Linked DNA regions of Drosophila melanogaster. The protein of the gene in region 4 interacts with the protein of the main gene of each other region in a pairwise test. Each region holds a gene or a part of one and is shown on either strand. Other genes may lie near its edges. The genes, in order: CG4250, Eip75B, Ets65A and croc.

Region 1 (6,608 bases), on a different chromosome or scaffold from region 4:
AGTGCTCGTTCGCAGCTGTAAGCAACTGGTTGATATTTTTAGTGTGATTTGAAGAGTATAGAAAAGCATGCGTTGCTACAAGCGCGTAGACTCCCCGCCGCCCTACTCGGATCCATTCGCCACCGCTCCTCCAGCGGAGGACGTCATGCAGCAGAACCTGGCGTCGCCCGCACATCCCAATCCGGTGATACCCGTGATGGCCCAAACCATGCCGGTGTTGCAGCCCGTAAGCGTGATGCATCACCAGACGACAGTGCTGGTGGACAATACCCGCCAGGGAACGATCTGTCCCCACTGCAACGCTCGGATTCGCCTTCGCGTGGAGCACCATCCTACCGGATCAACTTACTGTATGGCGGCGTTGCTCTGCCTATTCCTGTAAGTAGATCGCATTTATGGTTGCAAGTATAGCAACAAAGGTTTGTACATACATAATGTGTATGTAAGCAAACGGAAAAAGAAATGTTTTTACTAGTCTGCTATATCTGTGGCCGCAATTGTTTTGCTTCTTCCTGGACAAGCTATGAGAAATTGCTGATCGTGCCTTATAAGCTATATACTCTATTTCCCATCTCTATCCACCAGATGCTGGCCCTGCGTCTGCGCCCCTTGCTGCTGCAACTGTTGCTACAAGACCTCCCAGTACTGTCCCAACTGCAACTCCTGCTTGGGTTCGTTTTGAAGACGCAGCGAAAACACTCGCCGATTTCATATCATTTCATTTTATATATATGTATATATATATACATAACCAACTATACATACATATATGTATGTATGTTCATATCTCCTTATGTATCGACGGCGTCAATGTGGTGTCTTCATCACTTAACATACATAAAAATATGTTTGCTTAGTGAGCAAAATAAGCTGACAGCGAAAAAATAAACAAATAGATTTTGAAGCGAATGGAATTTTCTTTAATTTCTGTTTCTGGGTATCTGGCTACATTGTTGCTGCAGACAACTAGATTTGCAGAAAAAATAATGTGAAACTTAATTGTTCATACGTTTTTTTTTTTTGTTTTTGTGTACTTTTTGGCGGTCTTTTCCCGAAACTTTTTCGTAGCACAACTCTTTTGTGTCCAGCAATAAATGTTGATATGAAACTGTTTTGAACCGGTAAAATGTTGCTGGGACGAACCGGCATGTTGGCACAGTTTAAATTGATGCTAAGATGCTTCAAGATTACTGTTCATGCTATTAAATGAAATCACTGAAGTTCTTTGCATTATAATTGAATATTTAGTAAAATATTTGAATTTCTGCTAAATGTTTAGTTCTTAAGAAATGGAATAAAAGGATTTTAATTTAACTCAGCCTAGGGATACGCTGTAATCAATTTTAAGGATGTATATAAATATCACTTCCCAGTTAGGCAACATAATGTTGCTAACGGAAATACTTTTGGAAGTGTAGTGTCCCGCTTCGCGCCCTAAACTTCTGACCGCACAACACTTTCGCAGCCCAAACAGTGCGCATTAACTTTTTGTCTCTCTGTGAAATCGGAATTCTACTTTATTTATTTTGACAACGTACCCACCCATACAGATTGTAAGTATGACGGGAGAGATATATTATGCAAGCCTAGGATTGGGTCAAACATGAGCAACGGACTATTATAGTCAGGTCTAATTGGGTAATATCTGGTTGTTTAGATGTTTACCGCTGCTTTGCCGCTCCCCAAAAAATTTACTTTTGCTTGGGGGAGAACTCAGCAAAGACATACAGGACGACAGTAGGATTTCGGGGGGAATGTTAATCACTGGCGACGGACACACCCGCTGTTAAATAAGGATACTGTGCTGGGTGGTTTGCGCTAGTGAGAACATACATAAATAGATTGTGTTGATTTTGGATAGGACCAGACCGAGCAAGCAAGTTGCACCAAACGACGAGCAAAGATGATGGATGGAATCGGGGTTGAGCGGGGCTCAGACACACGCGGTTGTGCGATGACGGCGTCGGCACGAAGCTTGCCACATGGCACAAGAGATTCCGTGGCCCACGAGGATGACCTCACGGCGGCAGGAGGGATTGCGCAGCACCGTGGTGCCATCGACGGGAGATAAGGCGGATTACAGCTTGTTTTGCATGGCGGGTGTGCAATTAAAATCCCCATTAACCAGCCAATTTAATGCTCATGCACCAGCGGCACGCGACGTATTCAAGTTTTCAAGGTCTGCGCTGCAATCAATATGAGAGTTATTAGAGTTTCCTGTGCTTTCTTTCTGCAGCTCCGCCATCGAAATGTCCACTTCCGTTGGCCCGGAACCGTGCATCGTGGTCTGCCCCAGTTGCCGTCAACAGGTTACCACTCGTGTGGAGCCGAAAGCCACCACCAAGACTCACCTGATAGCATTGATTATGTGCCTTACCTTGTAAGCCATGTTCGATATTGATTTCTTAACATTCTGGGTGCATTCTCATTGAGTGATCTCTTTCGTGCAGCCTTTGGCCCTGCTTGCTGCCTGTACTGCACTCAATGCGCCCGGAACTCCGACCACCACTGTCCATCTTGCAACGCCTACATTGGCACCTACGAGCGCTGAGCAACTTCCGCCGGAAGTTGTTTTTTTTTTTTTGTCGTGGACTGCAGCCAGCAGCCGTGCCGAAATGCAGCCCCCATTACTTATCCCCACTTGATCTATTTTTAACTCTCTCACATTTATTACTACGCACTATTTTGATAACAAAACAAATCATTGTAGTGCCGGCATATGTATTCTTCAGCACACCAATAAAAGGGTTCAAGGAAGAAACGAGTGGATTTTACCTGGGGGTTGATTTGTTTTAGAGACAACGCAATTCTTGAGCAGAGTTGAGTATTTCTTATGTTTTCAATAAATATGCAAATTGTTGTTATATACGTGCTAATAGCATAGCTGGAAGGACCATTTCGGAAGGGTAAAAGCTACTGGTTTGTTTACCTGACAATGGAATACCCTACTAAGTGCTAACATTTCTGTTTTATTGGTAAGTTTTGATATTAATTAATTCATCATGGCTGAGCAATTTCTTACTAAAGCTTTTCATCCTGCAAAAAAAAAAGAACACTTACTCATGTAAAAGCCCTTATTCTGATAGCCACATAATATTTAACGGAAATCGCTTAGCAAGCCATCCGACATAGTAGGGCTATATAGAATTCGCATCGCGCCGCAACTCGAAAGTTCGCCGAGCAATGTTGGAGGAGCTCTCTGCGGTTTCAGTCGCTGTCGGCAATTCAAACGCGTAGCACACATCGGTCGGAATAATTAGAATGGAGAAGAACTTTCAATACGAGAATATGCAGCCTCAGGCTCCGGGTTTCCAGGCACCGCCCAGTTATGATAGCGCACCGCAGCAGGTCTATCCTCAGCTCCATCAGGGACAGGGAGTGATATTGCAGGGTGAGAATACAGAGAACTATGAATCAATCGGAAATAATGGTCAATTCTTCTGTGCAATTCAAACATAAAATATAATATCGCATATTATACGAAATCCAATCGTGCCTCTTTCAGCTCCACCCAATGTCCTGGGCCAATGTCCATCCGTTGCCACTTGTCCGAGCTGCGGCGTCCGCAGGGAGACGAAGGTGGAGTTCGAGCCCAGCACCAAGACCCACCTGTTGGCCCTACTCATCTGCATGCTGGGGTAAGTGCAGCCCGTTTGCTCCACCTGCCCGCAGGACTAATGGCCATTTTCAGGGGCATTTGCTGCTGCTGCATTCCGTACTGCACCGACTCCTGCCAGTCGGCCAAACACACCTGCACCAGCTGTGGAGCCTACGTGGGCACCTACAAGAACTAGAAGTGCTATCTCAACACCAAATATTACAGGGATAGATCCCACTTTGTATCTCCACACCTATTGATGGGATCAGATTTGGCACGAATATTCACGAAATACAACTCTGGTTCAAATCAATTGAATATATGTATGTAATTTTCGCATTGGTTTACTTTTCAAAATAAATTTCTAATCACACAAATTGTTGGCGATATATGAATGTTAACACTTTCGTATATAATATTAATAAATCCCGGAAATTTCTGAGGCGGGAATATATTATAGATATTTTTATCTGAGGTTCTGCATCCTACGCCCTTTATATAACTTCATTCACATTGTTGATCTAACAATCGCTGCCTCTTCTTGAAACTGGATATATATATATATATATATGTATATTGAACAACTTATGTCAATGAACAGTGGAAAAAGGTTTGTAATTTAATACCTAGATTTTATATTTCCCCTCTTCGAATTAAACACTAAACAAAGGAATAGGGAAGAAACAAGGTAATTTGATCGCTTATCCGTTTATTTGATTACAACTTTTTCTGCAATAATACCAATAAAAAAGATGGGCAACAATATTTAGTTAATTTCATATAATTTAAAAAATGTTGGCAACTAGTATCCAGATTAATACCTGAAATGATGCAAATTCGATGTCCAATTTTATTAACATGTTTATATAAGTAAGTTATTATTCAAGCAAGCGGATTTCATATTTGCCGAGATTCATCAGCTTCGCTGATTCCAGCAGTCAGTATTATCATTTCAGTTCAGGCAAATTGAAATGAAATGCGAGTTCAGTAAATTGAACTTGAGCTGCGCTCTAGACGTCAGCGTGAAATGGAAAACCCAGCGTAATGTTATGATCAGGGTAAAAACCAAAGAATTCCAACTCCTCCTCCTATTTCACAAACATCGCGATAATTCAGACTTCTGTACAACGATAGTTTGTGAAACGTGCAAATTCGAGTCACGAGTGTCGAAAGAAAGCGTTCTATGAGTTATGAAGACTACCATAGATGGATGTGTTATAAGATACTGGTAAATTATAGTGCTTACAATGTACGATAGATATACGATAAATAACTAATATCGCAATTATATTCCAGCAACGAATGTTTGCTCAAAAATTGGGTGCAAAGTCAAAACAATGTAGCAAAAAACATAAAAATTGATATTTGAAATTTACGCAGTTATCAACTTATTAAATCCATTCGAATACACAGTTTGCAGTTTAAAACTGATAACAGAGTGTATAAGTATATATGTAGTAGTATTTTTAAATTTCTCTGATACGCTCATGTGTATGTTTCGTTGACTTCATGAGAATTCCATGAGTCACCCAATTGCAACATGCAACCGGCAATCAAACTGCATTGCACAAAAGATAGTTGAAGCTTGGAGCTTCCAGTGAAATGTCGACAGATTCGAACTGTCCCAACTGCGATTCACATACCATGGTGAGGAGAAGTCGCCTGGCTATCTCGCGATTCAAGAAGCTTAAGATGGATTTTTGGTACTTTAGTGCACATGAGAAGATATTACTTCAACTTCAACTGAAATGTTTATATTTGCTAGTGCAATATGCTGCGGTCATCGATATTGTGGAGTCGGCATTTATGAATCCTACTACAAATGCAGTTCCTGTGGCTGGAAAGGCGATCCTAACCGATCCCCCTAAGATGGCATACGAATCTCAATCTGAAATAAAATAGGAATGCTGTTGCATTTCTGTTTACCACAGAGTGCAGATGAAATATATATACACGAGCTTTTGAGCTTTGGAAATGCACTTTGAAAAATTCCAAAGCAGCAAGCCTATACATGAACTTTAAGTGTAATATGTTTTAAGCAATAAAATACGTATTTATTTTTCCAGATGTCTGGAGCTCGGCTTGTAAAAAGAATTTAAGATAAAAGTAAGGCCTAGGGGATTTTATTTCCGGCATCTTGAATTGTTCGATATACTAGAAATACTCTTGAGAAAAGCTTGTTGATAACAGTGGGGCCTTATCAGTTCAGCTTGGACTTGTTCCTAGAATTCGGGAGTACAGTTTTGAGGCTTAATAAATAGAAGATTAAATGAACTTAGTTCTGAAAAGATGCCACGCAAAAGCACACCAGCATTCAAAGGACGGTCCGCGGAGGTTTACAAAAGTTTATCCGAACCGAAGGCTACAATTCCGAATTCTGGAGCAAAAGATACGTCCCAAGTATGTCTTAATTCCGAGGACTTCAAGTTGTCGTGGAGCCAAAGATTGTGGTTTAATACGCTGTATGTTATTCTTGAGCTAAGATTGCCTTCGTCCAGATGAAATACAGTTTCAAGTTTGTCTTATTTTAGATCCTTTTGTTGCTGCGGACAACCGATAAATAAAAATGTTAGTGATAATTTGGATGAGTAATGCAAATTCTAAAGACTTCAATAATTTGATTAAATGTATGCACATATGTAGAATATTATTAATAAAATAAATAAGTAAAGTACAATAACTGCTCTTGACTCAGCTAATCATTCTTATCTGTATTGACATTATTGCACAGCACACGACAAAATTGTCAATTGCATATTTATTTAGATATGTAATTGTATTAGCTCATCTAGTTTTAACCTGGATTATCATTAGTTAATTATAATAAAATCTTGGGCGATTGAAGGAAACAAGATTTAAAAGTCCAGTACTTAATACTGCGCTTTCCTCCTTCCTTGAACATGATTTCAATTGACAATCGAATTTACTCTCGCTTTCAACAAATTAAGTTGCTTGACTTGGTTGGCGCTCAAAAGCAATGCAAACAAGATACAAAGCTACGACAAAGAGC
Region 2 (8,270 bases), 3.4 Mb from region 4:
AGAAGCTCTAAGGGTGACAAGGGGATAAACTCTTGCTAAACCCAAATATTGCCACTGAGTCACCGACCCGACGCCTGCTCCTCTGCCATAAATAAGGAGAAATACTCCCTCCGGAGCTCCTTGTCTCCTGCTCTGCGGGTCCCCATGAAAATTAGTCTCAATGAACCCTCTGGAGGCGAGTGACTTATAGCACACTTTTGGCCACGTTAACGCTTTGACTTGGCCGAATCAGTTCAATGCACGCACATTGACCCAATAATTGGCCCAGGCCCGAAATTTCATTTTGTTTAGTTTGTTTAGGCTATGTAAATTCGGACTTGCTTTATTCGCTCTGGTCAACAGTTTTACTAATTGGCGTAGACAATGTTTTTTTCTATGTTTAATTGCGTACTACTTTTAATCACAGTGAGTGTCTGCTTAAGTAGAAAATGTATGGAAAAATCTTTTATTATTGATACAGAATGCTTGCTAAAAAATATTTTCTATATGAACCTCATTACGTATTATACCCAATATTTATTATTCAAGAATATATGTTGCTGTATTTATTCTTTGCGAGTTGCTTCTAAAATGCAATCCTCACATACAAAATGTATCAATTGTTATAAATAAAAGTTAAATTTACATATTTTAAAATATTATGATGATAACATTAAAGCGTGCCAAACATTTGCGCATTTTAGTTCGGATCTGGGCAAGGACTTGTTTCTGCTGACCTTTTAATGACCATCGGTGCAATGTCGAATTTTAGCGACCGCGTGAGTGTGGGTGACACGTGTGTGCCATATATCCTTGCACTGCATCGGTTGCATTCAGTTTACAATTTGTCAAGGAAATGCAAAAGAACTGCAGTGTGCAGCCCTGAAATTAATCCGCTTCACCCGGTACCCACTATATTTGTTTTCTCCCATGTCTGCCACCTACTACCCAATGTCATTTACAGGAGCTTTACGCCTGCTTCATCGAACTGTACAGTAATGTTTAACAATGACTGACAATTTTGTAAAATGAGGGGTAAGTGAAAATTCACTTAATAGAATTGTAGTATTTAAGCGTTGGATGGAAAAATATTTAAAATGGTGCCCTCTATCATACAATTTATATTAAGCAATTTGAACTAGTTGTTTAACTATACTGAAATTTTGGCTTAGATATGCATCATAAGGTAATACAGGAACTTGTATCAGTCTATAGTGGGCATCACTGCCTTCCCCACGCTTGGGACCTTGGCAATGAGGCACTTCCAGCCATGGATCCGAATACGAAACCGAACCAGAGCCAAGGACCCGACTTCGGATGCGGAAATGCGCATGCCTGCGTGTCCTTGCCCTTGGTCCTTGGTCCTTGGTCTTCGCCCGATGGAGCAGTAGTAAGTCTCGTAGTGCCCCTGAAAACTCTTTTAACCTTCGTGCAGCCGTGTGGCAAGTGCATCGATGCAGCTCGCAAACATGCGCTTTTGCACATCCGCTCTATGCAGAGAGAGAGAAAGAGAGACGTTTTTAACTGGATTCAGATTGGGTTGACGGGGGCATCCTCTTAAAAGGACCAAGGGTGGCGTCTGGTTGCCCCTGCCACGTGTCGCCAGTTGCAAATTTCACGACGCTGTCATTGACCATGGTATTTGACCACTATTGTATTAGGGCTGCCAGGGCCAGTGTCTCAATGCAACGCCCTCGTTGCATTTGGAGGTCCTCAAGGAGACAGATTCGGTTCCAAAATGCCCCAGAAGACTGAACCTGAATTGGCAAATGTCTGCAGTGGTATTTGCAAGGTTAAATTACATTTGCTATAGTTTATTTGTACAGTCGTTAAAACTTAAAATAATAAGCATCGATATTCCATAAAATAAAATAGTCAATATGCAATTTCAGAGTTTCTATTAAAAAATTATAATAGTGTAGTCACGGGGGGTTTTCTTGAAACGCTGTCCGGGAACAGTGATGATAAGTTCTTGAAAGTTAATCCCGTCTTGTCAACAACAATGGCAAATAAGAAAATCAAGGTTACAAGATGCTGTTCCCTTCAAACCTATCCCACAGCGTGAAAGACAATGAAAGCCAGATCCATAAGAGTGCAACCCCCGATGCTGGCTAAAATCGAAGCTCATAAAGGAAGTATCTCTGCCTGGGACCGACCTTACCAAACAAAAAGTAGCCCATCGAGTGTCTAGGAAACCGCTTGTCCTCTTACTCCTTTCTCGCCTTTTCTGCTTCGCGGCCCTTTGATACCCACTCGCTTTCCACACCCCAAGTCCAAGAGTCTGAAGTTTGCTTTCATTTCGTTGCCCGAGGGGTTGCAACTCCAGACAGACAGGGACCGACAACCAGGATCAGAAAACCCGAGAAATCCACCCACTCGCCGACTTTTTGCAATTATTTTTAATTTCTGTGCTACGACAACTCCCGGAATGCCAAAACTTTGCAACCCCAAAAGAAGCACGCAAAAGGGGCAAGTCACTCCAGGCGGGAACCACGATATGTACTACTGTACACGTCAGAAACATGGAAATAAGCTTGGAAAGCCCGGTACAGGGCAACTTGAAATGTTGCGATATCGAGATCATTAATTTGGCCTGTCTAGTTGGATAATGATTATTTTATTATTTCTTTTTATTGATAGTTCATCATTTAATGAGTTCCTAAAAATTTTAATATAGGTTGGTAGGGATTTTTATTTTTTTCCAAGCTAGTAGTAAAATATATTTGGGTTATTAAAGGATGAAATCAACACACACCTTCCATATGTTCCACATGAAAACATCAGCAAATTTCTAAAAAATTCTTTCTAATTTAGCTAAACCAAAAAAAAATTAACATAATGCTCTAAAGAACTTGTTTAGTTGTTTAATTGTTTAAATAATTTTTCAAGTTTCAAGATTTCAGATTTCTTAAACTGAAAAATTAGCATGATTTCGATTTCTTTCTAGCGGGCATCCACTGTGGCGACGTACACGTCCGCGCCTGAGTTCCATGTTCGGCGTCCATTGCACCCCCAATCTGCTTTGTACATTGACTTCTCTGCTCCGCTTTGTTCTCTGCATTCGCTGCAGGTTCTGGCTCTGTCGGCCTTCCGCTCTGCTCTTTCTCTCTATCACTCTCTGTAATGGTGATGGTGCTCTCCCTTTTCTCTCTCTGTAGCCACTGTGCATTCCCATACCACGACCTACCTTACCCACACCCACAGTGCGCTGCCGCTGCACAACTCCCGCCCAGGCAGCGCAGTCGGCGTCGACGGCGACAGCGCAGTTCGTTTTCATATTGAAAGTAGAATTTTTCACTTTTGCGAAAATTTGCAGTCCAGTCTCGGTCTGGTCTCAGTCATTTTGAATACGTCATGTGGAACGCACCGTCACCGTCGCGTTCCGTCCTCTGTCGCGCTTTTCCTCTTCTGCGCAATCGTCTTACCAATCGGCGGTTAACTTTCGTTTGTTAGCACCAGAATTCGATCGGGACAAATAGCAATCCTCTGAATGCAGATACAAAAAGTATCTGCGTGATGCGTCCGAATAAGTGGTGAACTCTTTGTACGTGAATTGGATTAAGGCAGAGTTGTGTGAGTTTTGTGTGCCAATTCGATGCTATATAAATATCACAAGTAACAAGGGAAGCACAAGGACAGTCTTTTCAATCACAATCAGAATAGTGCAAACAATTGCCAAAGTTTAAAATTTTAAGCTGTGACAATATTAAATACAGAAATATCTATAAAAAAATATGGTGTAACATATTATTGTGTGCAAGTTAACACTCGTCGTCATTGAAAATAATTCAACTAACAGAAATCCTTTATATATAGGATTTGTGAAACTGATCTATCTTTAAATAGAAAACTTATGCTTAAACTCATGAACCATTCAACAAAATTCACTTAACTGCGCATAACTGAACGATGTTAAGCATATACATATGTATAAGCATTATGTGACTCATGAAAGCATAAAAAACGGTCAAATAATATCAAGAACGAAAAATGTGCATAGAAATGCTCTCAAATTGTTTTAAAATAATAAACGAAGCAAAAAGTAAAAATATAAAATTTGAAATAGTTGAACAAAGGTTTGCGAAGTACTTAACAGTTCATACAATCGAAAGCCTAAAAGTTAAAAGTAAATTAAAAGCAGGTTGCTAAACTAAACAGAACAATACGAAAACCGACAAACATAAGATAGAAAAGTGATCATTTTATATTGCACAAAACCATGTATAAGGGTCGCATGACCTTTAACTCTCGGATATCAGGCGTAACTAAGTCCTCAATTAGATGGTTAAATTTATTGACCAAAAAAAACGAACTCGAAAGCACTTATCCTTCCTGCTGAATAAGCTCCTTTTTTGGACCCATTCCCCGGCTGTCTGACTCATTCCACTCGGATGAAACTCCGTCTGGAGTTGCAACCCTCATTAGAGGCGAGCCACACCCCCTGCAAACAGAACGCAGCCCCACCACCCAACGCCCCCTGGCAACTCCGCTGAAATGCAGAGACCCCAAGAAAACAGAGGAGGAAAGCTAACAGGGGATCTGCAGCCCGTTAACAGAGCGCTGCTTGCTCAACTGTAGACGCCCTGTTAGACTCGCCTTGGTGTGGGTGAACTTGAACACACATACACTCACGTGCTCTATTTCTCTCGGCGCTCTCTTTTTATTTGCACTGCTCTCTTGCTCGATTTATTCTATTTCAAGTTCTTATTTTGCAATGCAAGTGTGTGCGATGTCGTTCAGTGTTAAGGTCAATACATTGCCGCCTCGTGCTGTGGTGTGCGTTTTTGATTGTAGTCTGTGTGTGGGCTTGCACTTGAAGAAAATGTGTAATCAAAGTATAATTTTTTATTTAACCGTAACGTTGATTTTCACTTAAATTTACTGTGGCTAACAACATAGATTTAATTATTATTACTAACCAATTTTTTTTAAATTAAATAAGATGTTTGAAATCAATTAAACACAACTATGTATGTGATTGCAAAATATTCGAATAAAAGCATCATTTTATTAAAAGTTTTATTAAAATAAATTGTTATATTTTAAAAGCCTGTTCAACATATACACTCTGTCAAATGGTTGCAGCTCGTGAGGTTGCATTTTGTTTGTTGATTACGCTGCTATTGAATGTTGTCATGCACACGCGAGTGCACACACTTGCACGCCGAGTGTCATCGCCTTTGCTCGTTTGCAAATAGCGGTTTATTCGGCGCCTAGCGTTTGTATCTCCGTACATTTTTCTGGAGGTCTCCCCCACTGACGTTTGCGGAAACTTCCGCTATATGGCCGCCATCGAATAGACAGGGAATTGTGGGGCATGAGGCATCATCTCATGGCGCTTGGAAAAAATATGCATTTGTTTCGCCAATGCCAGATGATTGCTCTGATTTCGTGTTATAGACAGGTGAAAGTAAGCGATGTTGATAATACTTCTTATTAAGTATTAAACTTTTGATGCTTAGTGATAATGAAAATGATAAATTTATTAAATTAAAGTTATCTGTAACAAGACTAAAGTAGAACAGCCTTTGTTTTTATAAATTTATGTTCAGATAAAATGTTTGTAGTCACTTTTTACAGGATGAACATTCAAAAACTTTCAACAAAACATAAAAGGCCAAGCCCCAACCCAAACTAATTTAATTTTATGCGCAATATTCCCTTTTTTGGCAATACAGCTCCATTCATCAATTACGAGCAGACCCCGAACCTACCTCAATGCGTAACCCTGCCCTTACCCAGAGAAAATAACCCAGTGTAGCCCAGACCAACCGAAAAGCGCAACCCCACGAAAATCTCTCCACACGCACATTACTCATACGCACTGAAACACGGAAGTTGAGTCCCGTCAAGTGAAACCCCAAATGGGAAGCGAGCAACCCCCGAATAATCAACCCTTAGCCACAAAAAACTCCAAAAACTCCCCCTTGAAACTGCCCCAGTCCAAATTTTGTTAACCCCCATCGCAAAAAAAAAGTTTAGAAAAATCCGTGTGCGTTCTTCTCTTTTGGCTGGCTCATTCGCGTTTATTTTTGTTTATTTATGTTTTGCTTTTCGTATTCTTCACCTCAGCTTCCTCGTACGCAGTCGCTCTCTCTCTCCGAGCCTCTCGCTTTCGAATTCTTCCCATCTTTGCAGTCGGATTCTCTCATTTTTCATACGGTTTTCACTTTCATTGTGCAGCTTTTTGCGCGAGAACCGACTCGCTTTTTTGTCGCTCTTTTCTGGTTCTGTTCTGGCTTTCAGAGCTTTTGCTGTTTCAGTCAGAGAAAGTACGGCCAACGCAACGGTTGCGAATATATTCCAACCTGTCGCGATTCTAGCAAATAAACAAAGCCCCACTGGCCGAGCAGAGAGTGAAAATATAAGGAAAAAATATATTGAAAAATATTATAATAAATATACATATAGTGTCAATAAATCGGGGAAATGTGCAATAATTATGGGAGCTCGCCAAGGTCCCTTATATAAGCGATAGCCCATTGTCAAGGGCGCCAAGTGTTTTCCACATTGAGCCGTGGCCGTGGCCGTAACCGTGTCCGTGTATCGTGCTCGTATCGTATCCGTAGCGCCTCGTGAGCGTCCTTGTCCTTGTGCAGGCCGAACAGCTGCTTGGGTCCTATCCTGTCCTGTTCCGCCCCCTTCGGCCGCGACCTCGTCTTCGTCCTTGTTCTTGAACCGCAGTCCTCCAAAAATATCCGCTGCTACAGCAACTCCGCCCTGAAAACGACCTTCCCGTGCGCCCAGCTGTTGCTACCGACCACCCACTCGAATTCGACCCTCAGCTGTTGGCCATACGATATACGAAAAAGAGGAGAGAAGTTTGCTAGCATTAATGTCAGAAAATCGGAGATATCGCTAAAACAGCTGTGCGATTCCTACGAAATCATTATATTCGTCATCCTTTCGCAATGTGCTTCAATAAGTTGTTCCTAATAAACAAATTCACTCTGCGATTGCCTAACACAAAGGTCAAATGCCAAAAGAGACAAGTGTAAGAGCCCAAAACCACAAAAAATAAAACAAACGAAGTAAATCAAATTGAAATCAAAGTGAAAATTCCCAATGAATGAGCTTAAAGCAGTTAAACAAACAAAATTTAATAAAAAGTGGCCCTTAAGCATCCATTTAAAGCTCACACAACACCACTAAACAAACACAAACCAATATACAAAAAATCAACTAATTATATTTTTCTAGAGGTGTTTAAAAAAGAAACAACTACTACATGGAAGTATAAACACGGAAATCTAATTAAAAACAAAGTGAAAGAAGTTAATGCTCAGGTTAAAAAGTTTATAACAAAAAAGGCAACAAAAGCGTTGTGTTTCATGTGCAAAATCTTAAGAAATATCTATACAAATAAACACATATATTTTTGGAATAAAATTACTGATACTAATCATAATAATAAATCTTGTGAATCGTGTAACTTGTTTAAAATAAAAAGTAGTGTAAGCAGTGAATATATATTACAATTAAATTCATTTATAAACAAACAAAGATTAAACCTTATACACACGTAAATACGATCATTAAATATATATATTCTTATACACGATACGATTTTAATCAATCAATACATCAATCAATTCAGCAAACAATCGAGCGATATACTTCAATTTGCAAAAAAGTAAGTGTTAAATATAAAATTCTTAATCAATTAAAGATAATGTAATCCTTATTAATCCTTATTATTTTGAAAGTAATCACATTCTTTAAGGAGCTATACAAAATATGTGATTTTCGATGTAATTTTAATAGGATTAATCCCTTTCAGCTACTTCAAAGAAATACCTACAAACATACTCAGACGCTGCTGTGGATCAGGCGTAGCATAAATCAGCAAACAATAAGCCATCAAGTATTATTAGCAACTAAAACGAACTCAGACTCGGAATCAGCCTCAGAAATCTCAGCTCGAGATCATCAAACTTAACTCAACTTAACGCAACTCAGTCGAACTCATCTCATCGTCAACAGAAGAAGCCTCAACCAGAATACAACAGATACACGTATATATTTAGACATATGGTAATGATCAAGCAACTGTGGGCAGGTATAGGAACAACGCTAAGCTAAACGTAAGGACTAAGGACAACAACAAATTCTCTAGATTACAATAGAATACAGAAGAAGAGGACAACTTTTTCATGCAACTTTGAAGGCTGACAAAACAAATTTTTGATAATCCAAAAGCAGAAGCGAACAAATTACTAAAAAACCACAAACAGCAACAAAACACGCGTTAAGAAGAAGAGACTGATTTTAAAATAAAAGAGCTAGGCAGC
Region 3 (8,371 bases), about 15 Mb from region 4:
TATGTACGTACATATATAAACAGATCTAGTTATCACAAATTGGTGGGAAAGTCTGCGATAAGGGGGATAGACACCTTGTGGAGTCTTTAAGAATTGTGCAATGTTCGTATTCCAAATTTAGCGGTAATTCAGAAAATTCTTACTTAAATTATCTTTTAATCGCCGTAGTTGCAATTCAAATTTTAGAGTTGCCTTACCTATTTTAGACCAGCTGTTTTTACATGTGCGTAGTAAGTAAAAATTCGCAGGGGCTTGTTTTAGTAGTTAAAAATTTGTTGGTAAAATTTTTTGATATTTGCTTATTAAGCCTTTTAAATAGAACAATTTTATTAACATACTTGAATACAATATACATTTTTTTATATATATGTTTAAATGCCCATCTTTGCTACACAGTGGTGGCAGTTGCAAAGATCTGGCAGCCCTGCTCTAGAAATACCACACAGCAAATAGTCCACCTCTAAGCAACAGGTCGGTTGTTTATTGAATTCGTTTATTTAACTTTATGGGTAGTTTGGCAAATAGAAAGCTAGCTAACCGGTGCAGTTAACCCTTTTTGTTGACAGAGAGCTCAGAGGAAACGGCAGATTAGATCCCCCTGAGTTCATCCCCACCCAGGCACCACTAATCCGACGAGTATAAATCCCAAAATGCAATTGACGTGGCAGAGAGATCAGATAAATCTAGTACTTCCGATTGCTCTGATTTGTTGTTGTCTTTTGATCGACGTAACCAGCGCTCAGGAGGCCCAACAACCATGGTACGAGAATCTGCCAGCGGTGGCCATGGACTATAAGGTGTGTGCTGATTTTAAGACTCCTCTAGAGCATCAAATTTCACCGGGAACGTGGTTTCTCTTTCAGGTTCACATAGATGCTGGTAAGGAGGACTGCTACCATCAGTACGTTAAGGCAGGAGCCACCTTCTACGTGTCCTTTAGTGTAAGTTGATAGAATTTGGGATCAATAGCATGTTTCCGATCCAATGGATGGGTTTCCCCTTGAGCAGTCTGTGATATTCTAAAATAAATCAAATCGAATCCATTAATACAGTAATATAATCTATCTAATACAATGAAATTATTCATATAAATTTTTTTTAGGTGGTGCGCGGAGGCGATGGAATGGCTGGTTTCGCCGTCCGCAATCCTGCTGGTGAAGTGGTGAAGCCCTACCAGTGGCAGGCTACTGCGGACTACACGGATCAGGTATCGCCCGGTGGCTACTACTCCGTCTGCATTGACAACCAGTTCTCCCGATTCGCTGGCAAGCTGGTCAACATCTATATCACGGTGGTGAAGTACGATGCATGGGACAAGTACGCCAAGGAGATCGAGCAGCTGCAGCTGAACATGCAAAACTTCACTGTAAGCCAAACTGGTTTTCAGACACACCCAAACATCCATTTACAAATATTCACATTGATCTATTTCTTTAGGCCACCGTTGGCACTGTGGAGCGCAACATCAACGATATGATGGGCTATCAAGCCCACAGTCGTCATCGCGAATCGCGTGATTATGCGTTGCTCCTGGACAACAATGCCTATATTCAAACCTTCTCGATTAGCCAAATTGTGGTCATATTGATCACGTGCTCTGTACAGGCGAGTATAGACATGTTTTTTGCTTTTCCTAAATTAATAACCTAATATTTGCAGGTATTCTTTGTGCGCAAACTATTTGAAGTAAAATCGAGCTCCAAAAGTCGCATCTAAGGCGCAAAGATACTTTTCAAAGACTTCGCAACATGTTTCTAAAATTCCATCCGCATTTCCAAGACATTCATTCTATTCTACCTGCTGAATGAGTTTTTGTAACTTATTTTATCACTGGCTAATTGATCAAGCGCAACTGAGCAGACTTTTTTATAATTGGGACTACTTATGTCATACGAGTTATAGACAGCAAAACTTATTGTGATAAGTGTACATTTGTGTGTTTTGTTTAATTAAAAGATTGAAGATTTTTGTATTTGCTTTGTTTTATTTGGGAAAGAACCTTAAGGATTTATTCGAAGCCATTTGGGTTTGTTAATTTACTAAAAGCTCTACAAGCTTTAAAGTTAAGCTGCTTTGGTAAGCTCACTTAACCGTTAAATTTCATTATCCTGGAAAGGATTTTAAACTTAAAAATATATAATTCAGGTTGTTGTTTTAAGAAACCTGTTTTTCTTTTTATATGGGAGTAAGTTATTTTCAAATTACGACATTGTTGCAAAGACATCTTCTCGTTGCCTAAAACCAATCTTAAATATTAAATACATGCTGTACATGAGCTCATTAGTTTAAATTGAGAGCTGAAGACATTTCGAAGACATTCCACAACTTGGGCTGGCAAATTAATCACCCCGAATGCCGCTTATCGCAAATTATCCTGCCCCATCCATCGCAGGACCTTAAATCATGTCACCAGGCTCACCGCTTATCTAGACGTCATTTAGCACATGTGTGTGTGCTCTGCAGCAGCTGGCATGTTAATTATATCCTTTTTGGCAGGCAGCAGGAGCATCTGGGTATCTTGGCGGGTCTTTTGTGGCCACTGCTGCTCGAAATTAAAATGTTATTATGCGAGGCTTATCTGCGGGCCTTAAAGCCACCGCAAAACTAAGGTCCTAATGGCCTCGCACACCAGCACACGCTCTTTAACTGTTTTAAACGCCATTGTTAAAATATTGCTCATACGCACTTCCGCCCAAAATGGGGTCTTCTCTCTTCGGCAGCACTAATGATGCCCCAAGAACGCGGAGCAAAGGACCCGGCGAAAGGCAGGAGCATCCACAGCCATAGCCACATCCACATCCACATCCCCGATGGCACAGAGTTGGCTCCGCCCACCAGCAGCCGATGACAGCGGCAGATAACAGAGCAGCGGCAAAGTGGGCGGTGGATGGGGTTGTGGTGCGGAGAGCGCGCCTGCGCATTAGCCGCCGCAGAAACGCAGGACGATGGGGTGACACATCCTCGGTGATAGCGCCCAGTTCCCCTGCCACACAGAGCCACCGCTTGTGGGAGGAGTGTGTCGCCATCTTTGAGCGTGGACTGGTGACTGGACGGGATGATCTGGCCGCCACATTAACTTGGAGTGCGCGCTACCAAGTGCAACACGTCGCGGACGACATAATAGCGGTACTTTGCGGTTTAGATTCGTCGGTCACACGTCGTCAATATTCCCGGGACAAGGACCAAACTAGCGAACCTTTCTTGGTCAGCACAAGCGGCAAACGAAGGCACAAAAACCACAAAAAACACAAAGCACACACACGGCACACACTTGTACACTTACACACGGCAAGCAGTGCGGAAAACTTGGACACATACGCCCAGCTTGTTGCTGGCTGTGGGCGTGGCAGCGCACGAAAAAGAAACAGACAAGGACACACACATGTGTCCTGCCAGTGTGTCGCGGAAATTTTTGTGCGGAAATTATAGAAATTTCGCTTTTTGATTTCATTTTCGTTCCGCTTTCGTTGCGAACCTCTCACCCCTCGCCACCCACCACCACCCACCTTTTGTGCACCTGCACCTGTGCGAAAAGACATCGAGAAATGCCCAAGGAGCCCGCTGCCGTCGGTGTCCAGTTGGCTTGGTGGTCGTCGCCGTCATCGTCCTTGCAGTGACAAATTTCCTTGCATATCCGCTCCAGGACTACGAAACTTTGGCTGCAAACAAAACCGTCATTTGCGTGGCGCGTCGCTGTCGCGTTCACTTGTCGCATATCCGTCGCCATTTTGACAATAATTTCATTTCCGGTTGGCAATTTGTACGCACTTGAGTGAGTGATTAACTGCACCGATTCCCAACGATTGTGAAGTGTTTAAGATTACTAAGTTGTAACTTAAGTTGTCCCGACGGAAGTTTAAGAGACAGTCAAAGAGGAGACTTATTTTTGGATAAACTTTATTGCACATACAGGCACAATCCTGAGGTGAGTTATGTTCGAATTATAGAATGATCAACATGATTCAGAACTCCGACGGGGTCCTAAATAACTAATGTATTTTTAAGTGCTTTGTTGAACCAAAGTTGAAGTAAATTAAAGATAATATCGTAACGGTAGAATTTTATTCAAAAATTGAAAACATACTCCTAGGCTTAAATGGGGAAAATCTCCAGCATAAAATGGGGAAAATATTAAATGCATAAAAATATTTGAAATGTACGAATTCAGAATACCAGACATGTTGAAGTCTATTTTAAATCTAAAAATTTATAACCAATGTCAGTAAAGAATAATTACAATAATAAACTTTAATATTTTGATAGAATTTATTTCGAATTTCTAAGATATTTGTAAACTATGATACTTTCTATTCAAACATTCTGATCTGATAAATTAAATCCACTTACATAGAATTTTGAGCGCTTAGATACAGCACCTGTGAACTTAGATGGTTGCTTTTAATTTCTAACTAACGACAGTTATCCAACCCCTAAAAAGCTCACCCCACCATCATCAGATAATTGTGAAGCATATGTTTCTGCTAATCGAATTAGTAGACTTAAAACGGAAGTATTCATAAACCAGAAAAAAAGCACATCAGCAGCATCATTGGGTAAAAGCTTGACAATTAAACAGCAGCACAGTTTCATCAACCAGTCGGCTGTGCAAACATTCAAAAATCCTAATTTCCTAAAATCGCATAAAAATCTTACAAACCATTAAAGAGCAGCCAAACGTGTGGCCTCTTAATTAAAGGATCTCTCGTCCAACAAGGGGATTACACCATTAACAGCTGTCGAAGAGCATAAACTCGGCAATCACAGCGATACCAAGTGGTATTCAAAGGACTCAGCACGCGCTGCAGAACGGGACGAGCATTCAGCCCATCTGCAGACCGACATCCTGGCATCCCGCTCGTATTTCCGGTGTGCGCGCGTTCGCTCAGCGATTGTGATAACTTGGGGAATACAAGGATACCAGAATACAAAAAAAATAAAATGTCTGCCTGCTAATGTTCGCTGGTGAAATTTGCCTACATGCAAACGCAGCCACTCGGCCTGAGTACAAATAATAAATAATAAATGAGGCGTGTGCAGGCCGTTTATAATGTCTGACAAGGCGCAAAGTTGATGATGTTCTGTAGATGCGACCGTTTCGATAACGAAATCTATTTACTCCTCCCGGCAAACTTAAAGCTGCTGGGGTTTCAGTTACAGTTTTCATTTCGGGTATGTTTGGTGTACTTTAAGCCAGAGACAGGACAAGTCGCACTTTGTATGGCATAAATTTCGTTGGCATAAATCAAAATTCAGCAACTTCCGACGAGGGCAGAGTGCAAAAATTTGCATGCCCCCTGTGTGTGCTAACTGCAGACTGGCCGAAAAGGGCCAGTAAACAATGGTTCGCCTTCCCCAGCTTCGACCAGCTGGACATTAGAGAGCCACGCTCAAATGGCCGCCACCCACGCACAGTTCAACGCTCATACGCAACGTTGGCCCAGTGCAAAAAGCGGGACTGTACACACAATAAATAACGAGCCAGATAATTATGCACGTCGTGCTTATATCTAAGGGAACACTAGCTCCACAGCTCCAAAGTAGCCACTATTAATTATGCCAGAACATCGGGGGGGTTTTCGGGTAGCTAGCTTAACGTGTTGGGGCCATGGCAATTAGAGCGATTGTTTGGCCCGAGAGGCATTCTAAAATTGCAGTATTTAATTGTGGACCACGCGCTATGATTTATTAATATCTCGCTCTGCAATTTGCCATGAGGTGAGTGATGGAGTTTACTTGGACTTTAAAGCAATTAAATCTTCTGGTTTGACTACCAATAGAGTACAAGAGTGTATGAATAAATATCTTAAGTTTTAGTAACTTATAAGTACTAAGTATTCATTTATATTCATTTTCGTTTGTAATTTTCGCAGTTTTATAAGTACTATAAAACCAATTTGTTCTATCTATTACTTTCTCCGGCAGAGTCAAGTGGAATCCCTTGTTTAGCCAACAGCCACCCATCGAGGCTCCCCAGGCGTGCGCCATGTACGAGAACTCCTGTTCGTATCAGACGGCGCTGGACCTGAAGAGGGTATCGCCACCGACTCTCGCCCAGGTGAAAACGGAGGAGTGCCTTGCACTCGGACAGTGCTCGCCAGAATGGACCTCGTACCGCTTCCATCAGTCCACCTTCGAGCAGCTGAAGCAGAGTGTGGAGAAGGCCAAGGCGGCGCTGCAGGATCGCAGCAGTTTTTTCGGGGCCAGCAGTGCCTTTAGGTGAGTAACATCTTAAGATGTAACTATTTTGCACTAAATAAAATTTATAAACCATTTAACTTGGAAATCTTACTTTAAAAGAATTTTAATCTTGAATTCAGAATTATAGTTTGAGGTCTTATTAATTGGTATTATGGTATATATATCTTAAATGTATGTTTTCCAACCACAGCGACATCTACTCGAGCCAGCGCTTAACGGACTCCCTCGACACCCTGCCCGTTCAGTCCGGGAATGGAGGCGGCAATTGCCTTGGCCTTCCACACAATCCCAATGTCGGAGTGGGCGTGGCCGGAGTGCTCAACTACAATGCGGTCAGCAGCAGTACGGCCGGAGTTCTGAGCAGCAGTGGGAACGGCGTGCAGAGACATCGGTTGGACACACTGCAGCCGCCATCCGGGTGCTCTCCAGCCGTCACCCAGCACGGCGTCATCACGTCCAGCGCCGGACAGGTCACGTCCGGAACTCTGGATGCGGTGAGTGCGGCTCCAGCACTTCCATCGCTAACAGCGTCCAGCTCCTCGCATGTGGAGCACAAAGTCAGGGCAGGTAAGTGAATTTAATGTGGCAGAAGCAATAGATTATACATCGAAAGAAAGAACTATTAATATAATAATAAATTATATACAAATAGTAGACATTTTCGAAATGGGAGCAATCTGTCTTATTTTTAAAATCATTTAAATTATATTTATATTAAATAAAAGTAATCATTAAATTAGATGAGATGAGGGTTATACTTTGCTTTATCTACCTAACTTTTTTATAATTGTTTTTTGTCGTTTTTATTTTCAATTAACCTCATATTGAACACAAATTATTATATTTTCGTTCTTATATTGTTTCTTAACAAATATGGTCGTTATATAAATGATTTATGCAACAAAACGAACGCGTAATACTTTGTAGTGCACCAACCCACTGACCTTCTCGCAATTGTCTAGCACAAAACTGTCAACGAAATGGCGGAAAAACAAATCCTGCGCTTCCGGCCAAGGCAAAACGGACCCAAGCCGAGAAAAAAAAGCTGCCGAAAATGTTGTGCCACAAAAGTGGCAAATTTCGCGTATTTATTTAAACACATCCAGGCAGCATATGTTGGCCAATGGCCACCCCCGCCAATTGCCCTTCCCAGTTGACCAACCACCAAATATGTCCAGGGCCGTAACATTTAATGGCCAAAACAACGGCTAAAAACCGCGACCAGCCATGTACATAATTCTGCTCGTTGTATCACCAACAATAAGAAGCAAAAAAATTGGGCAAAAAATTTTAAATTGAATTATCCATATAAACGTTGAGGTCTCCCAGGGTCGGTTTCTATTCCTCTGATATTTTCATGGCTGGTTTTTATTTTTTTGTTGGCTTGGCTAGGTTACATATTTATCAATTTAAGCCGGGGCAAACGGATGTGGCTTATAATGCCGCCCGAAGCCGGTTGCTGTTGACTGTTTGCGGTCCTTGCCAGGTTTTGATAGAAACATCAAAAACCGAACAATTTCATCGCGTGCCTGGCAAGAGTTTGTTATGCCGCCTCCGACCGTCAAGTTGTCCATGTCCATTTATTTCTATAAGAAACTTCTTTCCTTCTTGCTATCTTTTTTTTTTGGCAAATTTATGTCCTGTTTCTGCTTCGTTTTCAATTAGAAAAGGCTGACAAGGCCTGTAGTGCTTGTTTCTTTTTTTTTGGCTGAAGGACGAGCACTTGATGGAAAAACTTGGATCAAATGGAAGAATAATAATTTTGTACAAATTTGCCTTATCTTACTTTTACTTTAATCGCAAATTTAAGGACTTTGGCCTTTTTCCCTCGCAATAGTAGACACAAAATGGCCGCCAAGCTCATCTTTTTTTCCCATCTCAAGTCGACGCGCTCAAGCAAATATGAAACGAATCCTTTTTAGCCAGCCTTCTGCTCCGCAACTCCCCCGTCTCTTTCATCTTTTCACTGGCTGTCTCTTTCTGTGGTCGATGTCAAGTTGTAGCTGAGTTTTTGCCGCTTCGGCTTCGCCATGAAAAGATTTTGTCATGCGTAACTCATTATTTTTTGCTCAAAAGACGTTTGGCTCACAGAGGCGCATAAAAATAATTACACTTTGCAGCCAACTTAAGAATAATAAAGATTCCAACATATATTGCAATACGGAAATATGTA
Region 4 (8,045 bases):
TATGGTTATTAAACCGGCCAGATATGAATTTACTTTAGAGCCATTGTCTATTATGGCCTGGTTAATTGCGGCGACAGCTGGCAAAACAACGCCAAACCGTGCAAGAACAACAACATCATCATCATCACCATCGCCATCATTGAAAAAGCGAAGTTGTTGTCACCGCGGCAATTGAGCGTCGACCACTGGAATTTATTGTTATAACGGGGCAATGATAACAGGTCATCAACACAACTGGCCAGGTAAATAAATATCAAGGGGGTCAGGGGTTGTATAGGAAACATACACACACAAACATACATAGGTGTGAATGGTGGAGGGAGGTGGCGCTGAAAAGTCCGAAAAATAGGCAGCGTTAATTACAAAGGATCTCCCGCGGGGCCAAGTCATAGTCGTAGAATAGATACATTGTAACCGGTGGATACGAAAATCCTTGTGACTGCAGCACATTTGGCAGCTGGCCGGCTAATACTTGCATTTAATTAGGCTTGCAACAATATTTATGTAAATCGGGCTGGTTGCGCGATGAGCCACAGAGACAGCTGTCAATATTTGTGAGCGGCACGAACGACAACCATTCCGAAAACCATTCCGCCCGTTTTAGCTCGATTGGATTATTGGGCATTTGGCATTGTTGTCCTGCGAGTTTCCCTGCCTGTGTGTGTGCGTATCGGTGTGTGTGTGTGTGTGTGTGTGTGTATGTGGGCGCGTCCTTATCGCTAAGCAAACAGTGCAACATTTTGTCGCCATCGCATTTATTTTTCTTGTCCTCCGCCTGGCGTTGCGCTACAGAGGATTCCCTATTCCCTATTCCCGATTCCCGAATCCCAATTCCGATTCAGTTTTGTAAATTCTGGACCACCCGCGCAATCAGCGACGGCTGCACTCCAAGCAAACATACAGCCACTTTTCCATCCAGACTCTTTTTGTTTTCGCATTTAATTTTGTTGCTTTTCACACCGAATGGAGACTCCGGATGGCATCGAATGGCAGTTTTGCTGTCAACCGCCCAGCCGACTGTATTTGCTGCCAAAAGTGCTGAATTTGCATACCAAACTCGTTCCCCTACCGATCAGCCAAATATTCAGATTGAAAATATTGAGCTTTTGGATACGAATAGCCTAGTTTATTGAGATAGGAGATGCCCCTTTTTGGCTGCCAGTATTTGGGGATATGTGAACATTCTAATCCATTCCAATAATTAAATGTAAATAATAATATTAATGATCAAGAATTTAAACATTTTTCGGTACGCTACAAATCCTTTTCTTTCATCTCTTAAATGTAGTTTGCTTTTAATGGTGGTTCCAACTATAAATATTTTTTGTTACATTTTCCAGTTTGAATTGGCAGATACAACCAATATCGCTGCCCATTTGATTTTGAAAATTTCAACCATCTGACCAAAAATCAAGCCCTTCATGCTCAGTGGAGTCTTCCATTCGAAGATTACTTTCAGGCCTACTACAGTCTTTGGCACACTTTTGGCTGGCACTCGAGCGCCATTCACATGCCACCCAGCCAGGTATTCCATTGTTGGGGCTACGAACAGCTAGCCAAACCTATTGACTGACTGGCGTTCGAGCGGTGTCCGCCATTGAAAGCAGCCGTCCCAGCTGCGAAGCACCTGAGCGGAGATTGGGCCACAAATCGAGAGCCATACAGATACACACATGACCAGATTTCTTCCCCGAGTGCGATCTCAATGCCGCGGTGGCGCCAAGCGGCGCTCACTCAAGTGACAATGTCGTCGAGCAGCCTTTATTGGAATAAATCCAAAGCCGAGTTCCGAGACGAGACCATGACCAGCTGCCCATCGTCATCGCCAAGTTAACAGCGTATTTTGGCCATCAATCAGTGGCGCTTCATCTGCCGATCTTTGGCGTTGGTTGGGTAACTGGTTACTTCGCTGGCTAATAAGCTCAACATACTGATTTATTCGCACTCACTCACGCTGCGCAGGCTGGTGTTTTACTTTCTACCAATTTGTGGCAATTGTCTGGCAATTAGGAGCAGCTACAGTGTTCCCTGTGGGGGCACAGTTTTCTTAACTAAAGATTTGTAATTTGTTGGCCATTGTTGGACGGCAACCTTAGAGAAAGCTAACATTTTCGTTTATAAATGACACTTTTAGGGGGGAATAATAATATAATTCTTCTGGATACAATACGATCTTGTCAGTTGCCATAAAGTGGCTTAAAGGATCCTCAATTTCAAGTTTTTAAGCAGAAAGAAGCTCAGACTACACAATCTAACAGTGAATATAATATTATAAATACTAAAGTTACCCTTTTTTGTAAATACCTTTCGATAGCTAGTCGTGCATATGAAGCATACAATTTCCTGGAAATTTTCATTTATTATTCCAAAAGGTCGAATGCATAATTATTTCCACTGAAAGGGGGGAAGTGTTTTCTATCCGATCGCTTGACAAACGACATATGTCCACGTTTGCAAGTCCATCGGAACTGCAGCCAACTGATCGAGTGAGTCCAAATGATATGATACGGCTACCCAGAAAGCCATCTTCCAGTGACAATTGGCCAGTTGAGTCATGCATTCGGGGCTCGAAACGGACACGCCTTGAATAATTATTTATCTAGGAATTCTGCGTGCGGGCTATCCAGTTTCGGGGTAAAAAGTCTGTTTTGCCAGCCAAATGCTCAATGGCCAGATGGAATAGCGAAAGTCGCTCCGAATATGAAGGGGCCAAATAAAACACACGATTTGAGATATTTTAACATATTTTCAATACACTTTTTGTTCGGCTCATATTGGTGGTACGCTAGTTTTGATAGTTATGTTATAGCTACGATTTAGTTGTATAATTTATTATTGCTTACGTGGGCTAGGCTAGTGTACTAGGCGATGATAGATCGATCCGATGCGGTAGTTTTAGTTATTGACAAAATGCTCTAATTTAAGTTTATGTTCTGTGTAGCAAAACCCCATCACAAATTGCGTAGCAGACAATTGGGACTATGCCTAAATTCGATAACAATTACGAGCTACAATTACAAATACAGTTAATACAATACAATACGTTAATGCGGTTGCTTAACAGCTATGTCCCCCATTATTTCGTATACGGATAAATCGAAAACAAGTTGGAAACAAAAAGATCTGAGATAGCAGACTCTGGACCCCGAGGGATCACCACCCCCAGGCTGTGTAGACTCGTTCTTGGGTATATTATATGGTGTATGTATTTACAGGAATATACAAGAGAGCCCAGCCCAGTCGCCGAGAATCCAGCCCACAGGCTTACACCCCGTACTTGATGCCGTACTCCTGGTAGTGGCCCACATGCGGTCGGTAGTGGCTCAGATTGCTCAGCTGACCCAGCTGGCCCAGGTTCCCGCTAAGCGCCGCATGGTGATGATGGTGGTGGTGGTGGCTACTGATCACCGCCGCCGCTGCTGCCGCTGATGCCGCTGCCACGGATGCGGAGGCAGGTGGACTGGCGGATTGTAGGCTGCCGGTGGGACTACCGGTGTCCAGTTGGCAGGATTGGTTCTGCTCGAAGATCATGTCGCGGAAACCCAGTGCCGATGTGGGACTGCTGGTCAGCACGCTGGAGGATCCTCCACCGCCACCGCCGCCGCCTCCGCCACCGTTGCCCACTCCATTGTGGTTGAGTACGCTGCTGCTGTTGTTGTTATTATGTCCCGGGTGGGTGGGTGTGCCCTGCTGCCCATTGTGAGGAACGGGTTCCGATGGTGGCGTTTCCGGGGTATACCAACCCCCGTGCGCGGGACCATGCGGAGTTGAGATCGTGGTGGGCGAGTGTCCGGACGATTGGCCTCCCGCTCCTTGGCCGCCGGGGGTCAGAGGATGGGCCACGTGCGCCACATGACGCTGCAGTTGCTGGGCATGATGGGCCGCCGCAGCGTGGTGGACATGATGCATCTGACTGCTGGCCACCGTGGCCAAGTTGTCCTCGTTCAAGTGGTAGGGATAGGCGCTGTGATGGATCCGCGGGTTGTACACATTCATGAGTGAGTCCACGGTGAAGCCGGGATGCTCCACTCCGCCGCCAGCCAAGTGGTTCATTTGGGCCAAGCTGTCGTGGCAGGAGTTGAGCATTGCGGCATGGGAGACCTCCTTGCCACTTAGACAACCCAAGTCCATTAGGGGCTCCTTTTTGAAGTGGGCAGCATGGGCGGCCATGTGCTTGGCCTCCAGTATGCCGTTGGTCATCAGCTTGAGGGGCTTCATCTCGGCCAGCTTCTCGTTCATCATGGCCTGCCGCTTGATGGCCTCCTCCTTCTCCCGCATCACATCCTTCTTCTTGAAGCGGCGACGCCGGCGAAGGAAGGAGCCGTTGTCGAACATGTTGTAGGAGTCCGGATCCAGAGTCCAGTAGGAGCCCTTGCCGGGCTTCTTGTCATCGCGGGCCACCTTCACGAAGCACTCGTTGAGGCTAAGATTGTGCCGAATGGAGTTCTGCCAGCCCTGCTTGTTGTCGCGATAGTAGGGAAATCGCTCCATGATGTACTGATAGATCCCGTTCAGGGTCACCTTCTTGTCCGCCGCATTCTGGATGGCCATGGCTATCAGGGCGATGTACGAGTAAGGTGGCTTTACAATCTCCTTGTTCTGGTGCGGGGCACCCAGGCCGTAGGCGCTGGCCGAGTACGGATAGCGGGAGTACTGGTCGTATGCGTAATGTGCCGCTGCTGCAGCGGAGGCGCTGCTGGCCGCCGCCACCGCGGATGCGGATCCGTAACCGGCTGCGGTCTGGGCATAGTGGCGCGTAAAGGAGTTCTGGTCGCTGAATAACGTATGCATGGCGGCGATTCCGGCGGATTTCTGATCGATTTTCCACTGCCGCCTTCTGGTATTTTCGTACTCTCTTGCTTTTGTCTTGCTTTCTTTCTCGAACTTAATCACTTCACCACTGGCTGCTTCTTATTATTTCTAGCGATAATATTTGCTTAAACAAGTCGCTCACATAAGTGCAGATATATAAATCTATATATATATATATATATATATGCATCTATTTGTAGTACAGGGGAAATGGGAGCGCAGAGCGAGCGCAGAACCGTTCGGTATAGTAACACGTCTGATACTGAATCTGTGTAACTGAAATAACACACAGCTCGCATCGAGCAGAAGCGTTTGCGTCGGCAGAGCGTCGCCCGCACCAGAAAGTATCTCGATCCGCTGCCGCACAGTATCTGTGTGTACCCGCACAATGTATCCGTATCTGCATGTGTATCTGCAGCCAACCAACGATGGCTGCCACTCGCAGTCAGTAAGTGAAGTGGGCCCGCAAACACAGCTGCGTCGAAAGTATCTGTGTGTGGCCAAGAGAAAGAGAGAGAGAGAGAGAGAGAGAGAGAGAGAGCGGACGCCATTCATGCTTTCTTTTTTGTATAGGAAAAAATAGTTAGCTAGCTACGGTGTGTGTCCTGTGGGCACTCCTCCCCTACCCGTCGCTTTTCCAAGCCCTTGTTTTTGTTGTTTAAACTAATGCTTAAAATACGGCCTATCGCCCTCTCTCTCTCTCCCTCTCTCTCTCTCACTTCCGCTCTCGCTCGCTCCCTCTATCTCGCATTCATGATATACTAGATACAATGGTAGTAAGAGCGAGCGAGAACCACATCAACTATGAGAGGCACCTGGGAAAGCCAACAGCACAGGCACAAGTGGGTGGAGGTGGTGGTGAACCAGGGGCTGCAAACGAGCCAACCACCCACTTAACTCACCCTTCCAATGACTTCGGCATAAATTAGTGATAAAGTTCTTTCGATCTCAGCTTAAAGTTGTTCGTCTTCTCGGGAGAGGCAGAGACCAAAAAGTTGCCTGCTAATTTGCAGTTTGATGGGTTTTCGCCAAGATGTTCAAGTTAAGGGCCACGTTTGAAGGTTGTTTTCGTTGAGGGCAAGGCATTAAGTTTTTAGCAACTCCCTTTTTCGGGCGCTTGAATTGACAATGGTTTTTTTGGTGTGCAAAGGGCAGGAATTTTTCAGGCTTATTTAAGGTAAGAATTTCAAGAATACTCAGGATATTAGACAAACATGTTTTCCACAGTTTTTCAAGAACTATTGTATCACCCTATATATAGGATCCTTATATAATAAAGATTCATTAAATTGTTGTTCATGTTAAAATGTCCTAAAAAAGAAAACCGAAATTTTTCTAATATCTAAAATGTATCTAATATCAAAAAGAATGAATATATATATGTAGAAAACTTTTCCCTTCTGCAATATTATTATGAAGCGAGTTATTTATTTAAAAATTGCTCTATTGGCGTGATTAGTTTAAATCAGAGATAATAATAATTGAACAGTTAATACAAGTAGAGTTTTGTACCATAAATTTATAACATATTAAAATTGCACTTGTTTTTATGTTATCTCCTATCCGCCTTTTGACTTGATACTCATTCACTCCACATTTCCAAACATCGAAAGGGTTACTAACCAATTTACAAGCCAAATAACGATAGAGTCAAACATAAAAAGTCCTTCGGCCTCGTCCTTCCCTCTCGCGACTCCTCTGCTCGTTGAGTCCTGCAGTGTCGTTTTTTTCGCAGACTTCATTTCTATTTTCTGCTTATTAAAACAATATTTTTTATTGACTTTGTCAGCTTTAAAGTAAATTTCATATGTTTATTTGGGCAAGGGCAAGTGTGCGTGTGGATGTGAGTGTGTGTACGCGAGAGGCCGAATGGGATGGGCTGGGTGTTTGTCTGGTTATTAGACACAGGGAAAACAAACACGCACATATTTATATTTGGATAATTTAAAAGTATGCTGACTATTTTTTATTTGTACTTTCCGTGGCTGTCTGCAAAAACCGAGCGCTTTGCATCACTTTAAAACCCCAATCGTCTGGGTAATTGATACAAGAATAATATTTGGCTCTATTAACGCAATCGCATTATTTTGACAAATATTTTTATTGTTTTAACATAATTTTTCGCATGCGATCTGTCGGAGAGGATGAGGCTATGAATCATCGTCATGTGTGTGTCCAGTTGGCCACATATCCTTTGCAGGATGCGAAAGGATGAGAGTCCTGCATTTGAAATTCGAATGAGGCGACTCCGCCGCCGTATGCTCCATTTTACGCACTTTATTTGGCTTCCTTCTGGTTTCGTTCCATATTTTTTTCATTTTTTCCTCTCGAGTTTCAGGATTGCTGCTGCTGATTTAACAAATTTCGTCTTCGACATCGGCGCCGTGATTGCGATTGTATGGGTTTCGCTGTGGGTGTGAGCAGTTTTTTGTGAGTAACTGTCTACTGGCTACGTCTGTGCATTTAGCGCAGTTCATGTTATTCTTACGTAGTTGCCATTGCCTGTCTGTCCGATTCCCCCATCCCCCATCCTGCACAGCTACAGCTGTCCGTATCCGTACTGCTCTGCCACTCCATCGTATCTGTATCTGTATCTATATCTGCAGCCATCCCACTGCATTTGACCTATCTAAATATTGATTTAGTTTCCCAAAACTGCAACTTAACATTTTCTCCGCGAATGCAGTGAAAGCTGAAAGCTGCTTTTATCTCGAATGTAAAAGTTGTTTACTAGAAAATAATGCAGTTTTGTGAAAAATGGTCGTTATTACGTGATATATTCCTAACATATCTTATAGATATAGAATGACCTTGGTCTTGTCCCTTTCAATAATTAAAAACGCGAATCTGCATAGCCCTATGAAAAATACTATCTTTCGTTAATCGATTATGACTCCGAAATATGCCTTAATTACCCAATTAAAATGATCATTAAACACAAATCGCAGTTCTATCAACTTTAGGCCTTGATGGGCGCCTATTTGACAAGCACAAAATTTGTCAATTTGGCAAGCACATTTGCCGTACTGAAATGACAACCCCCCCATAATTTTGGCAAGTGGAAAGCGAGTTTTGGTAGATGTGTCTCGCCCATTTGCCACGCTCAATTTGCTGCAGTCAACGGAACGTTGACACCGCTGTTGACAAGGAGAAGCATTTGCAGAATGAGGAGCAGCCGGCGAAGAAACGAGTGCCAACATGTGGCCGTTCAGTGCCCATTATTAAATTTTAGC

The links.
Region 1: the proteins of croc (region 4) and CG4250 interact in a two-hybrid assay, tested with the Drosophila melanogaster proteins (one large-scale study listed by BioGRID).
Region 2: the proteins of croc (region 4) and Eip75B interact in a two-hybrid assay, tested with the Drosophila melanogaster proteins (one large-scale study listed by BioGRID).
Region 3: the proteins of croc (region 4) and Ets65A interact in a two-hybrid assay, tested with the Drosophila melanogaster proteins (one large-scale study listed by BioGRID).

What each region holds. Positions count from the first base shown.
Region 1 is NT_033778.4:22,660,484-22,667,091, forward strand, and holds CG4250 (uncharacterized protein), read left to right. Parts: upstream 1-3,208; 5' UTR 3,209-3,261; coding exon 3,262-3,430; intron 3,431-3,505; coding exon 3,506-3,638; intron 3,639-3,691; coding exon 3,692-3,794; 3' UTR 3,795-3,991; downstream 3,992-6,608. Other genes in the region: CG42565 (uncharacterized protein), read left to right, coding at 68-378, 586-682; CG42867 (uncharacterized protein), read left to right, coding at 5,201-5,301, 5,364-5,466.
Region 2 is NT_037436.4:18,059,764-18,068,033, reverse strand, and holds the start of Eip75B (Ecdysone-induced protein 75B), read left to right. Parts: upstream 1-3,337; 5' UTR 3,338-3,523; intron 3,524-6,580; exon of another isoform or gene 6,581-7,088; intron 7,089-7,179; 5' UTR 7,180-7,612; intron 7,613-7,759; 5' UTR 7,760-8,270. UniProt on the Drosophila melanogaster protein: Implicated in the regulation of ecdysone-triggered gene hierarchies. Probably plays a key role in mediating the regulation of the larval molt by 20-OH-ecdysone.
Region 3 is NT_037436.4:6,094,547-6,102,917, forward strand, and holds the start of Ets65A (Ets at 65A), read left to right. Parts: upstream 1-3,070; 5' UTR 3,071-3,925; intron 3,926-5,922; 5' UTR 5,923-5,983; coding exon 5,984-6,216; intron 6,217-6,388; coding exon 6,389-6,765; intron 6,766-8,371. Other genes in the region: loj (logjam), read left to right, coding at 651-797, 864-941, 1,103-1,366, 1,438-1,605, 1,660-1,716.
Region 4 is NT_037436.4:21,471,404-21,479,448, forward strand, and holds croc (crocodile), read right to left. Parts: upstream 5,077-8,045; 5' UTR 4,792-5,076; coding exon 3,265-4,791; 3' UTR 2,730-3,264; downstream 1-2,729. UniProt on the Drosophila melanogaster protein: Required for the establishment of head structures.